2 linked regions of the Caenorhabditis elegans genome follow. The protein of the gene in region 1 purifies or fractionates together with the protein of each later gene. This does not show direct contact. Each region holds a gene or a part of one and is shown in the gene's direction. Other genes may lie near its edges. The genes, in order: kin-2 and kap-1.

Evidence for each region.
Region 2: the proteins of kin-2 (region 1) and kap-1 purify together in Caenorhabditis elegans (affinity purification with western blotting, with the first as the bait; one study listed by BioGRID). This does not show direct contact.

The regions. Positions count from the first base shown.
Region 1 is NC_003284.9:5,971,811-5,979,711, reverse strand, and holds the start of kin-2 (cAMP-dependent protein kinase regulatory subunit), read left to right. Parts: upstream 1-1,857; coding exon 1,858-1,978; intron 1,979-2,037; coding exon 2,038-2,120; intron 2,121-2,900; exon of another isoform or gene 2,901-3,039; intron 3,040-5,428; exon of another isoform or gene 5,429-5,450; coding exon of another isoform or gene 5,451-5,528; intron 5,529-5,800; exon of another isoform or gene 5,801-5,916; intron 5,917-6,043; exon of another isoform or gene 6,044-6,178; intron 6,179-6,507; coding exon 6,508-6,714; intron 6,715-6,778; coding exon 6,779-6,892; intron 6,893-6,938; coding exon 6,939-7,052; intron 7,053-7,096; coding exon 7,097-7,211; intron 7,212-7,277; coding exon 7,278-7,481; intron 7,482-7,844; coding exon 7,845-7,901. UniProt on the Caenorhabditis elegans protein: Controls the rhythmic contraction of enteric muscles probably by regulating G-protein coupled receptor aex-2-mediated calcium influx in GABAergic DVB neurons.
Region 2 is NC_003281.10:7,336,993-7,344,131, forward strand, and holds kap-1 (Kinesin-associated protein), read left to right. Parts: upstream 1-2,008; coding exon 2,009-2,078; intron 2,079-2,142; coding exon 2,143-2,215; intron 2,216-2,661; coding exon 2,662-2,899; intron 2,900-3,254; coding exon 3,255-3,366; intron 3,367-3,458; coding exon 3,459-3,604; intron 3,605-3,657; coding exon 3,658-3,796; intron 3,797-3,842; coding exon 3,843-3,930; intron 3,931-4,060; coding exon 4,061-4,415; intron 4,416-4,765; coding exon 4,766-4,984; intron 4,985-5,070; coding exon 5,071-5,195; intron 5,196-5,241; coding exon 5,242-5,444; intron 5,445-5,830; coding exon 5,831-5,898; intron 5,899-5,945; coding exon 5,946-6,146; intron 6,147-6,476; coding exon 6,477-6,581; downstream 6,582-7,139. Other genes in the region: gsp-2 (Serine/threonine-protein phosphatase PP1-beta), read left to right, coding at 1-227, 286-500, 550-663, 711-845, 1,075-1,197; F08F8.6 (uncharacterized protein), read left to right, coding at 6,779-6,817.

The DNA.
Region 1 (7,901 bases):
CTACCTAATTCAAACATTCCTCTTTTCTGTCACAGGCAGAGGGTCTCCTGAGACCTAAAAAACGGGTGGGCGCTCCACGAAGAAGACGCCGAAAAAAAAAAACAATTTCCCCGGGCGTCGTCGTTGTCGTTGTCCCTGCCTCTGTCTCCTCACGCTTCTTCCATGATTCATAGGGCTCCTTCTCCTTTTTGCTTTGCTTTTTCGCGATTTCTCAGTTTTTTGTCCCGTTTGATGCGTTCCGTATAATATAGAAACGTTGCTTTTTATCCAACAAAACTTTTACATTTTTGTACCAAAAATCCGACAGATTAGCCTATATGGATTAAAGATAAGCTGAGAGTCGGCTGGTATGCTAACTTGATTACCAGCATGCAATAGGATAAAAAATATTGTTCAGTTCTCCCTGTTCCTATTTCAATTTACGTCATATGCCAAAGACCAAAGGCCACGGGTGGTGTAGAGCAAGAGTCCGAGGGGAAATGCCCCGTTGTAATTGGGCGATAACATGAAGACACCCTCGATTTCATCGATAGGTCATTTTCACATTTTCACATTGTGATATTGATTTCTGAACGTTTAGTTTAGTTTATTATCATCACTTGTTTCTCTCGCATGCAAAAAGGTTTACAAACCCGCCTAGAAACCGCATAGGGAGGGGGAAGAGGCGAGAGAAAAGTTAGCATTCGTAGGTATTAAATGCATTTTCTAAAAAATAGGGTTTGAACAACAAATAATTGCTGTTTTTTGCTTGTACTTAAAATGGGCTCGAATTAGCATTCGAAATTCAAAAAAGACCAACAATTGATAGATTCACCAGTTTTGCTAAAGTTTCCAAGTTGCAGAGAATGAAAATTATATATATATTTTTTAATGGAATTATCATTTTTATTGATTGTTTGGTTCACATTATTTAGTTGATTCAAGTGTGTTAAAAGCCGATAAGTACTGAATTTCAATTATGTTTGGTAACCTATCAACTTTAAATGCACCCTTATTAACAAAAAAACGTGAGATAAATTATAAAAATATGCAATACAAATGATACTTTAATGCAGTTAATTTGCAACGCAGAAAAGTGTTTCCCAAATTTTAAACGCCCCCTCGAACGGAATAGCTTATTTATTTTTTGAGAAGTTCATTTGAGTACATTTCGAGTCTATACATGCAAACAATTCAAAACCGTATACATCAAAATTATTTCTATACATTTGTAGCTGCTTGTAACTCTATATGAATTAAACAAAAAAATCTCAAATCAAATTCGTCCGTTTCCGCGACATATTGTAACCGTTGATCTCCTATCAAAAGAGGAAATTCCCTTTATCTTTAAATTATAGTTTCCGGTCTCAGTACTTGCGCGACGACGTTTTTCATTCTGCTAATTATCACCATCAATCATCATATTTACTTTCCGACCATCTGTGTGATCAAAGTGATGAACTGAACTTGTCTTCAAATTTCAACAAATCAATTATCTGATTTTTCTCTTTTTCTCTTTTTCTTTTCTCTCTTTTCTCGTTCTCTCGCTCAACCAAGTTTGGGTATCAATTTTCTTTTCTTGCTCCTCCTCTCTGTTTTTTCCTTCTTCTCCACTTTTTCTTCCTTTTTTTGCTGCTCAATTCTGCTTTGATCTACTGGGAAGGCTGTGTGCCAAGATTTTCCAAAATGTTGTACACTGGCGGGTGTATCAGCATTCATTCGGTAACCGCTCATCTCGCTCTTTTCCGCGGCATCCCCCGTCAAAAGTCTGTTACCTTCCCCACCAAGTTTTCATCTCATTTCAAACGTGTGTTTTCTGCTATTTTTCTCGCATTTTTGTCTCTTTTGTTTGTTTAAAACAAGAAATGACTGAAAATTATGAACAATTATTCAGGTGACATTGTTTTTATGTCGGGTGGAAACGAAGAGGATCAGTTGGCACAATGCCAGGCCTATGTGCAACGACACAACATTCAGCAGCTTGTCAAAGAAGCAATTGGTGAGTTTTTGAAAATCTAGCAAAATAATAACACGAAAGTAAGAATACGATTTTTCCAGTTGTTCTGTGCATACACAAACCCGACAACCCGGTTCTCTTCTTGAAGGATCATTTTGAAAAACTCAACGAACAACGAGCACAGGTTAGTTGAGTTGCAGAGAATTTAGAAATTGAAAAAAAAAATATTTTCAACATAAAAGTGAGAAGAATGACAGAACCAGTTCGAAATTATGACCAGAAAAAGTATTCAAATTTGCTGACACTGAAAGAGTATTGACGTGGTACGCCAAAAAAGTTAATTGTTGCGTTTTGAAACGGTTCTTCTTATCGGAAAACGTAGTGTTGCATAAGCGTATTATAACGTTTTGAGTACAATTTGTGATGGGGGTTTTACAATTCTTCAGGATTTTTATTTAATTGTTCGTGTTTTCTGAACCATGAAACTCGGTTTCAGACTTTCAAATTTGAAATTCACATAGCTTTATAATTATATCATTGTTCTAGATCAGTGAAATTTGTTATTTTATTCTCATTCATAGTACCAAGTTTTTGAGGCATCGAAAATCTCGTTTGACTCGCTTCAAATATTTGAATATTTTATCCGGTTTTGTGGGAGCCAAGCGTCATGATTTTTTGTTTCGATCTTGTTTTTAATGAGATGCACTGCAAAAAAAAGCTTGAGAAAAAACTGGAAAATGCAAATTAGGTCAAACATCTTCCTGTGTCTTTTTCGTCATTCCTCCGCGTTTATGGCTCGAATCAATGAAAATGAAGCTTCACTTCGTTTTTTTTTTCGTCTTGTGTTGCTTCTTTTTTTCATAGAAAGCAAGCCTTGTGTATGTCGTTTTTCCGTCGGGGTCCTCTGGAGAAAGAGAAGAAAAAGAAGAAGAGGAAGAAGAAAAAGAGGCACTAGTTAGCTGGGAAAACGAAAGGATGAAAGAGAGCGGATAAGGCGTAACGAAAACGAAGAGAATTGAGAGAATGGGCCCTTTGAGACGAGTCCCAATGAGCCCTCCAGAGCTGTCCATCGAGCATCGAGCGCCCGCAGCCATTGGCTCAGCTGCCGAGCTCTTTTCCCTTTTTTTCGGGTCCGGTTTGTGAAGCGGAGAGAAAGTGACGAAGAATGAAGAAGGCCTCGGGGCAGATTTCTCTTGCTCTTCGTTGCTCTTCGGACGATCGCATTTTTCTTCTCCTTCTGCCGCTCCTTAATGCTCCATGCTTTTTGTTCTCCGTTGTTTTTTCAACACCCTCGCATTTTGTGTCTGGAATTTTTGTTTCGAAAATAATTGAAGTAGGTAGTATTTTCACAAAAATAACAAAAGTCAAAAGACTAGTCATAAATCTTTAGGAGGTCAGGTGAAAGAAAGGGAAGAGGAAACAGTAACAGTGACGACGAACCAAACATCATTGTCACGTTCTTTGAAGATGTGAAATTCTAGATTTAACCTTTTTTTTTCTCTGACACCTAATTTTTAAAATTCCAAAACATTTTGCTTTTTTTTCTGTCACAAATTTTAAACGCTTCAAACAAAAAACAACATTAGTCATAATCCAGGAAATATAAGGTATTACAAACTTTTTATGACGTCATCGTTACTTGCAACATTCTGAAAAGGTTCTCGAAACGATTATATATATATATATATATATATGATGAAAAACAACACAAAAAGTTCGGAGCTCTAGAATTTCAATTTGGGAACATTCAAAAAAACACAATAAAACTAAAACACTCGAGTCCACTTTTCACACTCCAATTTTTATGTCTTTTTTTGTACACATGTGTTTCAGTTTTAGACACAGCTTATCAAAATCGAATTGGGGCGGTTTTTTGGAATGTGGTCATTAAAAAAGTGTGTTTAAATTTCTATTGAAAAATTTGAACGTTTGTATTTTTTTTTGAAATTGTAAATAGAAATATTAATTTTGAAATGGAAAACTAAGTTTTGAAATTTAACATACTAAATTTGCCAATGCCATTCACTAAAGGACCATAAAGTGTGCGTACCTTCCATTTCCTGCGTCTCTCAACATATTTCTTTTGCATACTGTTCGGACGTTTATCGATCTTTTATGTTCTCTCTTCTTTCCAACCGCTTCCCCAGAAAAATAGTTTATTTTAAACACTCGTTTATGAAAATTTTTTGGCAAATGCTGATACACAATTTTTTTTTCATTTTTAAAGTTTTACAACTTTTATTTTCGAAAAACTAGGAAGTGCATACTCCGATATTTTCTATCTTCTCTCCGCCTCGTTTTCGTTATATTTGTCTGTCAAATTCAATAATCGAATAAAATTTGCCCCGAAGGCAGCTTCTATCCGGCCGAGTGTTTTTATGACCGCCTCAGAGATAGAGAACGATGCCAAGTTAAATGGAGAGAATGAAAAGAGTCACGCTTTTCTGATGCTAAATGACTTTATTGATTTTTGAGAGAAAAACTATTCGAATAAATAGCTCGTTTTTTACGAGGTTTTATTGAATATGTTCGAAAACTAGTAAAATGGGTTTTTTTTTCAAACGAATTGAAATATTAGTCATACCATTCTCTTTGTTTTTCTCCACGTAAAAAATGCCTCGAACGTTATCATTGTGTCATTTTCTATAAAATCAGCTGATTTTTATTTTCTGTACCACAGAAACTTTTATGAATTCTAAGAATAACGTGGCAGATTTTTAAGATAGGGAATTTGTCATTTATTGGATATTTCTCAATGTGTGCATAATACTCTCTGTGAGCACAATACACTCATCGTAAATTAACTTCGATGCGACAAATCAGAAATTAAATAGTTACTCTTAGAAATACTGAAATTGAATTTTTTTTTGTTGTTTCATAAAACAACATGAGTAAGAATAGAGGAACAATTCGAGACTATTTATTTTCTGTCTAAATGTTGCGGCTGCTATAGTAAATTGCCGGTTGCTTGAGACAAAAATGCATGAAGTCGTTGTGCCCTCCACCTACTAAATACAACTGGCAAAGCTCTTTCAGATATTGACATTCTTACTTTTTCCTCTTCCGTCCTTTCCTCTCCCTCTTTCTGTTTCGTTCATTTTGCGCTACCACAGCAAGAAAAACATTCACACGCCTTCAATTAGGTCTCATGTGGAAACCCGGTCCGATTTTGATTTTCGTCTTGTTTTTAGCCTTCTCATTCTACCTCCAACTACAACATACTACTCAATGTTTTGTCATAGTTGTTGTAGTTGAAAGTTCGACGCACACACAATTGCCTTATTTGCCTCCTGACGTGTTCCTTCATTTACAATAGTCATAGTGTTTGTTTTTTCAAATATTTATTTGACTGCTCACCACAACTCTGGTTTCCATGGATATGTTTTATTCCAAAACATCTGCTTCTTAGAAAATTGCCGTTACATTCCTCTTTTTTCACCTACATAGACTTTTTCTTATTCTTTTAACCAAGTTATTAATCAATATTGTCAGAGTATCACCACCAAGGAATGTGATGGGGCAGCAATTGAGCAACCGACGAAACTCGCAATCTGTGGGCGCCACAAAAAACGCAAAGACTCCAAAGCCTAAGGTGATAGTTTTTTGAGAGGATAATCACTTTTTTCTTATGGATTTTTGGATTTCATGCGTAGTTCGAATTAATTCTCTGATTAGAATGGCTTCTATGTTTTCAAACATCACATTTAATAAAATTTCTTGAAAAAATCAAGTTAGAAATTTGAACTGTTCAAAACCTGATCTTTTTAGGCAATTTTAAACGGATTCTGCAAACTTCTAGAAATAAAAAAAAACAAAAATAAAGGGAGACCTCAAAAATAAGAAATTGTTTTGCACAACAGAAACAAAAGTAACCAGGTGTCTGCTAGTATGATCGAATCTCAGTCACGACGGATGAATGATGAGCGGCGTGGAATGAAATGAAAAAAGGGGAAGCGCTGGAACCTTGATGGAGCACTAGCAAAATTGTAGGACGAAGAGACTTGCGAGAGCTACGAGTACGCATTTGAAGCACATTAGACGGCGCGGCAGCTCGCTCGGCGATAGATTGGCTCAGTGTGCACCGCACTTCATATTTCCTTGCGTTTTTCTTCTTGCTTCTTTCCATTGAAAAATTCTTCCAATCCATTTTCAATTCAGTGGTTCACACCTTAAAAATGGAGTTGAACATGTACCGGGTGAGTGAGCGAGTGGGTGTATTTACTTTCTGCTGTGTTGTTTTTATTGCGCAAATAGACAGGCGGAGACGGTTGCCCTGTTGCTAAACAGAAACAAGTAAGTTTGCGGCGTAACATAATTTACATTACCTGGTGGCCCACTTAATACGATTCCCGATTTACAATTTCCAACCTCAAGGTTAACGTTTTGTCGAAACAAAAAAAAAATAGCAGAGGGTCAGTAATTGACTGAACTGGTTCTGGTCATTTTATATTTTGATTTTTCATTCATTTTTTCCGTCGCTGAACTAACTGAAACAGGAAAATTCCAAAATGGTTTGTTATTTTGCACATCTTTTATTTTCAAACTTTCCTTATCAAATCTTAACATTTCAGGAAGGAGGAAATCCGGACGCTGCTGATGATGACGACATCATTGTGGAGCCACCAAAGAGATCAGGTGGACGCAGAACCGGAATCTCTGCCGAACCAATCAAGGAGGACGATACCGAGTACAAGAAGGTTGTGATTCCAAAGGATGATGCTACAAGAAGGTCGCTTGAGTCAGCCATGAGGAAGAACTTGCTCTTTGCTCATTTGGAGGTGAATAAATTCCCAAAAAAATTTCTAATAACATTAAATTTTTATTCAATTTTTTGGTTTTTAGGAGGATGAGCAAAAAACCATGTACGATGCCATGTTCCCAGTTGAGAAGTCTGCTGGAGAGACCATCATCGAACAGGGAGAAGAAGGAGATAACTTCTATGTTATTGATAAGGGAGTGAGTTGCTTCTCTCTAAGAGCTTATCCGTACTTTCATATTTAAGACCGTTGATGTCTACGTCAATCACGAGTACGTTCTCACCATCAACGAGGGTGGATCATTTGGAGAACTTGCTTTGATCTATGGAACTCCACGTGCTGCAACCGTCATTGCCAAGGTGGCAAAATGCCACTCAAATTCATTTTATATATTTTCTTCCAGACCGACGTGAAATTGTGGGCCATCGACCGTCTCACCTACCGTCGTATCTTGATGGGATCAGTAACAAAGAAGAGAAAGATGTATGACGAGTTCCTCTCCAAGGTTCAAATCTTGGGTAAGTAAATTGAAGAACCAGAGAAGAAAAATGAACTTAAGCCGAGACTCATCAATCATCTTTCAGCCGATCTCGACCAGTGGGAGCGCGCTAACGTGGCTGATGCTCTTGAGAGATGCGACTTCGAGCCAGGAACTCATGTCGTCGAGCAAGGACAACCCGGAGACGAATTCTTCATCATTCTCGAGGGAGAAGCCAATGTGTTGCAGAAGAGAAGCGACGACGCACCATTCGACGTTGTCGGACATCTTGGAATGTCGGACTATTTCGGTGAGCAATAATCAGAAAAAAAGAGAAAAATTGGAAAAAAAATGAACAAACATGGAAAGATCAAAAAACTAATTGTATTTGGCAATATGCGGGTGATTCAATAAATGCAAACATTTTTTTTATTGAAATATAACTCTAGACAAGATTTTTGTGACACTTCATATATCAATGTAGGCTTTTCATGAAATGCAGGCGCGGTTTCAGGGAATGACGTCGCTTTGCATTTTGGTGTTAAATCAAAACCCTGGTGTTTGCACCAGAGCCCGACACGTTTTGATTTTTGAACCGCACTAATCAGTAGGCGTGGGTCGCGACCCTTGTCGACGCCTGAATGAAAGCTTTATTTCAATGTCACAATTTCAGGAGAAATCGCTCTTCTTCTCGACCGCCCACGTGCCGCCACCGTTGTTGCCAAAACCC
Region 2 (7,139 bases), on another chromosome or scaffold:
CGTGCACGGACAATACTACGATCTTTTGAGACTGTTCGAGTATGGTGGATTCCCCCCAGAGTCGAACTACTTGTTCCTCGGCGATTATGTGGACCGAGGGAAACAATCGTTGGAAACTATCTGTCTCCTACTTGCATATAAAATCAAGTACCCGGAAAATTTCTTCCTGCTCCGAGGAAACCACGAGTGTGCCTCGATCAACAGAATTTATGGCTTCTATGACGAGTGTAAGAGTTTGATCTGAGATTATCTTAGTACAGATTTATTCAAATCTCATGTTTTTAGGCAAGCGGCGATACAACATCAAACTGTGGAAGACGTTCACCGATTGCTTTAACTGCCTGCCAGTTGCCGCCATCATCGACGAAAAGATCTTCTGCTGTCACGGAGGACTTTCTCCAGATCTTCAGTCTATGGAGCAAATTCGTCGTATCATGAGGCCGACAGACGTACCAGATCAAGGATTGTTGTGCGATCTGTTGTGGTCAGATCCTGATAAAGTTCGTTTGTGAACATAAAATTCAATGAATGATTACCATTTATTTTCAGGATGTCACTGGCTGGGGAGAAAACGACCGAGGCGTCTCTTTCACTTTCGGACCAGAAGTTGTTGCCAAATTCCTGCACAAGCACGATTTGGATTTGATTTGCAGAGCTCACCAGGTATTACTTAAGATTTTCTGCAAAGTTGCGAACCGAGAAATTTTCAGGTTGTGGAAGACGGTTACGAATTCTTCGCTAAGCGGCAGTTGGTTACATTGTTCAGCGCTCCTAATTATTGTGGAGAGTTTGATAACGCGGGATCGATGATGACTGTCGATGAAACACTGATGTGCTCTTTCCAGGTAAACATAGCGGTACCATCTATATAATTTTAAATACTGATAATGCGTATGCATTCACCAATGATGCAATGGTTAAATCAGACGAGTCTATTTTGGCTATCTATTCGAGTTCTTCGAAGAAATTGCCGCTAAGCGGGGTGAAATTGAGGCATTTGTCTGAGGTGATTTATTAAACGCTAAAACTACCTATCAAACATTAAAATAAAACAATTCGGAATATTTTTTTCAGATCTTGAAACCAGCAGACAAGAAGAAATATCCATATGGTGCTGGAGGAGTTGGTTCAAATAGACCAGTCACCCCACCACGAAACGCACCGGCTGCGCAACCAAAGAAGGGTGCCAAGAAGTAATCATCAGTCGATTTATCTATCATCTGTAAATACCTAACCTTTTCTTTGTTGTTCACGCCCCAAGAGGCCTCGGCCATCTCTCGTAAATCGGCTTCAAAAAGTTGTGTACATTAATTTTGATTTTAAACATAGTTTCGAAAAAGTTTAAATTCGATTCATTATGATCTAGGCTGGCACGAGAAGATGCTGTGGTCCCGGCGAATCTCCTCTCAATTCAAGCTTTCGTTGTCAACATCCCTTCCTCTTTATCTCTGTGGACCATTTAGAGCTAATGACTCCTCACCAATTGCTGGCTCAATTTTTCATCAAAACAATCCCCATTTTATTCGTTTTTAAATTCCAAATTTTAATTTTTTTTGCTAAACTTATCTCTTAAAACAGTATCAAATTTTACTTCTCTAAATGGTCTAAATATTTAAAACAAATGTTTATGATGTCAATCAATCTCCACTCCTTTCCTTCCTCCATTCATTCGTCCATCCCGTACTCTTCGTTTCTCAATTTTATATTGTTAAAACCCCCATTTGTCGATTTAATTCATTAAAGTTTTCCGAACAAATAAAATAGAACACTGGTACAAGCGTGTAAGCAATATTTCTTATTACAACGAGTGCAACGTCTCCAAGGAGAGCGTGCGAGACGAACAGACATCCCCCACGACTAGTGCTCCTCGAGCCGTCTCATCGATTTCTGTCGTTTGTCAGTTATTCAGAAATGCTCCGCCCCGGCTCTTCAGTAAGCTATAATAGGTAATCAGAATGAAGAGAAATATTTTTTGAGTTTTTTCGATTGATTTTCCGTGTTTAGCTCAATGAATCAAGTTTCAATAGATGCACACCCGTCAGATCAGGCAATTATTGTACGATTTGAACAATCTCCTAGTAAGTTTTATATTTTTATTTTCAATTGAATGTGTTACGAAGATTATTTGGAAGTTTGATTCAGGTTCTTCAGCAGGAATTTCAATAAAAAAGCGAGCTTCTTCAGCGAACGTTGAGTCTCTTGGCCATCAAAAAATGTAAGAATCTGATATAAAATATAAAATTAAACTGGAATGCAAATCTGCTTAACAAGAAAAATAAAATAAAATATTTTTAAGACCGTATGCCCACGAAGGTGCACGTATTCTTTCGGATGGGTCTCACCGCGAAAAATGTTTATGGTAACACTTTAAATTTTTTCTGTTGCAAAAACCACAATCAAGATACAGAAAAGTTATTTAATAATTGCTCACAAAACCCCGAATAACAGAAAACGCACGACCGAAAATAGCAAAAAGTGTTGACTTGAGCATTTTGCTCGCTGTGAGACCCATTCCCCATGAATCCATGCCTCTTTAATTTTTAGAATATTGGAAAATAACTGATAAAAAATAATAATCGAATATATATATATATGAGAACCTCAAAATGTCACCTGCATCTAACATTGTACGGCTACAAAATTACCCAAATTGTATTACAGAATCCACTTGAAAGAAATGAGTCTGGATGTAGATATTCGTGCTTTATCAAATGTTATTCTTCAAAAATGTCTTTTCATTCCTGCCACGTCACGAAGTCAATTGGAGCAGGTTTTGTTCTACATTCAAAAAAGAGGAAATCAACGAATAAGTGCGAGATCAAGAAGTTCTTCGGCCGTTTCATTTGATCGAAGGCCTATTCATAGTCCTACAATTAGTGCAGAATTAGGGAAAATAGATGTACGTTTTATAAGAAAACATTTTGTAGATTACGTAAAGTTGAGGAGCATTTGGTTTTATTTTACAAATACGCATAGGCTATATCAAAATTGAAAACATTAATTGTTACATGTTCTAAAATGGAGCAGCTGAAACAAAACCAAGCTCGCTTGAGTGCTTTTGTATCCGGTAGTACCAATATTTTAGAATCTAAAAATTTATTTCGAAAATAATCTGATTAGTTTAAAATAATCTTTGAATGGTTTTCTATACATCATTCAACATTTATATAAAAACAGATTTCTTATTATGGTGAGAGCCTAAAACCAAATAGAACTTGAAAAACTACTTTTGAAATTAAAAATGTATCTTTCAGGAGTACATAGAATGCTTCTACGGTGAAACTTCTGTTGAGAAAAACAAAGGAGCCGTGGCACTTTATGAACTTTCAAAAAATCCTCAAAACCTCACACAGCTTGTGAACAATGGTAGGTAATTCTAGAAAAGCTTACCCGATGACCATAATTTTCGGACGTAATCTATGTATTAAAGTTAACGTTCAAATAACACTACATTTCAGAAACTCTTATGATGGCACTGGCAAGAGTATTCCGAGAAGACTGGAAGAAACACTTTGAAGTTGGAACCAATATTATGAACCTTTTTGTGAATATTTCCAAGTTTTCATGTTTACACGGAATTCTGCTTCATCACAAGGCATGCATGGTTTCTAAACGCCTTCACTTCACCTGAATTTCGTTTAAAAGCTAGATTTGCAGATTGGTACTTTATGTGTAAATGCAATGGAACATGAAACAAAACGGTACGATTTTTGGATTGCTGAGATGAAAAAGACGGATCAAGAGACATTGAGAAAACTAAAAACAGCCATTCGAAAACAGGCGATGCTATTGGCAGGTTTGTTGCAATTGTACATATTACATTGAAAATGGTTCAATTCCAGCATGTGTCACTTTTCTTACCAATCTAGCCACGGATATCAGTGTCGAATTGAAAATGGTCCGAAGAAATTTGGTGGCACTTCTTGTCAAGTGAGTTTAAAGGCGCAGTTAGTGAGGAAATTGTAAAATGCTGAAATATCATAGTAACACTTTTCACAGTTTTTTTTAATCTCTCCACCTTTAATAATTAACACCACATTCACTCATTTTACATTTCTAGATGCCTCCAAATGTCATCAGAATCTACAAGTTCACTAACAACTGCAACTATCAAGTTTCTTCTTAAATTAAGTATTTTTGATGAAAATAAGATTGTAATGGAACAAAATGGAACAATCGAAAAACTTTTGAAACTATTTCCAATTCAAGATCCAGAACTGCGAAAAGCAGTTATAATGCTTCTTTTCAATTTTTCATTTGACTCCAAAAATCTACCAAAAATGGTGAATGGAGGTCTTGTACCACATATGGCATCTCTATTGGACAGTGACACGAAGGCATTGAATATGATGTATTTATTAAGTTGTAATGATGATGCAAAAGCAATGTTAGCATACACCGATGCTATTAAATTGGTGAGTTGGGTCAATCAAAGGAGATAGTCGAAAAGTTACTATACATTAAAGATGGAAAAACGCAAGTGGAAAATTGTTAAAAACCAATCCTATACTAAAACTTTTCAAATTTTTTGATATTATTTTCAAGTTTGCATTCGAATAGTGGTTGTCGTTTGAGCTACTTTATTTGTGAATCAATTGTTTTTTTTGAAATTGTTTGAACATTATTGAAATAGCAATTCAGACAAAATCTACTTACCTCGGGTCTATGTTTTGTTAAACCTAAATATAACGCCACATAGCAAATAGTCACCGATTTTTCCAACGTTTGCTACGAGGATATGATTCATAAAAAAACATTTTTCCAGCTAATGAAAGATGTGCTAAGTGGAACAGGAAGTGAAGTGACAAAAGCAGTCCTGTTGAATATTTGCCTCGAAAAACGAAATGCTCAGTTGGTATGTGGACAACGTGGTCAAGGATTAGATCTTCTTATGGAAATGTCTATCAACTCGAGAGATCTAATGCTCATAAAGGTTGTTCGAGCGATTTCAAGTCACGAAGGTGCGACGCAGAATATGTTTTTGGTAAGTTGAGAACTGAATTATTATTGAACGGTGAAAATAGATAACGAAAAAAAATGAACGTTGTTATTTAAATTTAGAATTTTCAGAAGTGGATTGAAACTCTTATCGGGATTGCAAAAAATGAAGGAGCAGACAACTCAGAGTCAAAATCTTCATTTGGTTTAGAATGCATGGGTACAGTTGCTGAGCTCAAAGTTGCTCCGTGGGCAAAGTGAGCTTTTTGAGTTCGGAATTCCAATCAAAAACTTAAATTATAGAATAATTCAATCTGAAAATCTTGTTCCTTGGATGAAAACTCAACTTCAAGAAGGAATTGATGAATCCGAAGAAGTGACAGTACTTCGAGACATAAAACCTCTCCAACTACAAATTGTAATTGCTTGTGGAACAATGGCTAGGCAATTGGATGCAGCTAGGTTATTGGCTCCTTTGATTGATACATTTGTGCAGTTATTACAATGTACGTTCATAAATTTAAGTTATTTTTTAAGAGTTTGTTTCATAATAAAACCCCAGTAACTTTTGAAAACATAAAAGTTCATTTTTCCTCACAATCAGATTTAAAGGTGGAGCTTTGCCAGTTGGTAAATTACAAAATGGAAATTATTGAAACTAGTTGTGTTTCAATTGTATTTGAACATTCTAGGAAATCGAACATGTAAAAATGTTCAAAATTACTCAAAAAGTACATATTTTTGGAAGTAATTGGCAAATTAACAAATCTTCAGCTAAATCTTTTTTAAAATCTAACGTTTTTGAAGTGTTTTACTGGTGTCATTTTGATCTTTTTTGGGTGTATCGAGAATACAAATAAATTACTGAAAAATATCGCAATCTTTTTTTCAGCATGCCAAATTGATGATGAGTTTGTTGTGCAACTTCTCTACGTTTTCTTGCAATTTTTAAAGCACAAGGTATAACGTTTTAGAGTTTTTTCAACTCTCATATAAATTTTTCAAAGGAACTATCTGCTCGCCTGATGACTCAAGATTCAGCTCTCGGAGCCCATATGATCGATTTGATGCACGATGCAAACGCAGTGGTTCGAGAAGTTTGCGATAATGCCCTTTTGATAATGGGTGAACATTCAAAAGAATGGGCAAAACGGATAGCTGGAGAGAGATTCAAATGGCACAATGCACAATGGTTGGAGATGGTTGAGGTATGATCGTAGTTATTTTAACAATTTATTCGTTGATTGGTACAAATAATATTATGATACTGGTCACTATACAAATATACTATACAAGGTTTTGGAAATTTAACGTCACTAGCATTTCCTAGTTTTATTTCTGTATAAAAATACTTTCAAAAACGAAGACACTCTGACTATCCCGTTAAAAATATGTATCAAAAACATCATTACTTTAAATGAATCTATTTAGTAGTTTACGGTGAGTGTTACGGTAGAAACAGGATAGCAGTAATGCAGCTTGAGTTACATTACATTAATATAGGCTCTAAAGTCACCGGTTAAAAATCGTTTTTCCAGCGAGACGACAGCGAATTCGTAGATTACGATGATGAAGATTTTGGAGCTGATCTCAAATTTGATCACTATGATGATGGATTTGATATGAATGAGCCCCTTTTTTAACTTTTGTTTGTTGTTTTTTTAACCTACAAATTATATATTTTTACTTAATAAATGAATGTTTTGATTTATATGCAAAAAATTAAAACAAAATTCACGTATAAATATTTATCTTTTGAAAGGTCAAATTTTCTCTGGCCATGTAGTGTTTCACATTTAGTGTTTCATTCCTCGAAGTGACTGCTTCATTTTATTCAAAAATGAACAATTCTTCAAATGTTACAACTGCAATAATTTCGGTAAGTTGTGAAACTTTCAATCTTGTGAATCTTAAAGGTGGAGTGAATGGGGACACATATAGTACTTGAAAGAGTCTAGGACTCAAAAATGCCACAGAAGAAAATAAGAGAAATTATTAAGAGACCATGAGATCATGAGAATGCCTACCGTTTTGGCGCGGGAATATCTCGTAGCGAAGGTACCTAAATTCTCATCGCCGCATGTTCTTACAATTAGATTACTCTAGATATCCGAAGAATCTCTCCTGCCGCCATTTTCGCGCCAGAAAGTAGACATTCTCATGCACCGATGGTTTCTTAATACTTGACACGTTTAATTTGA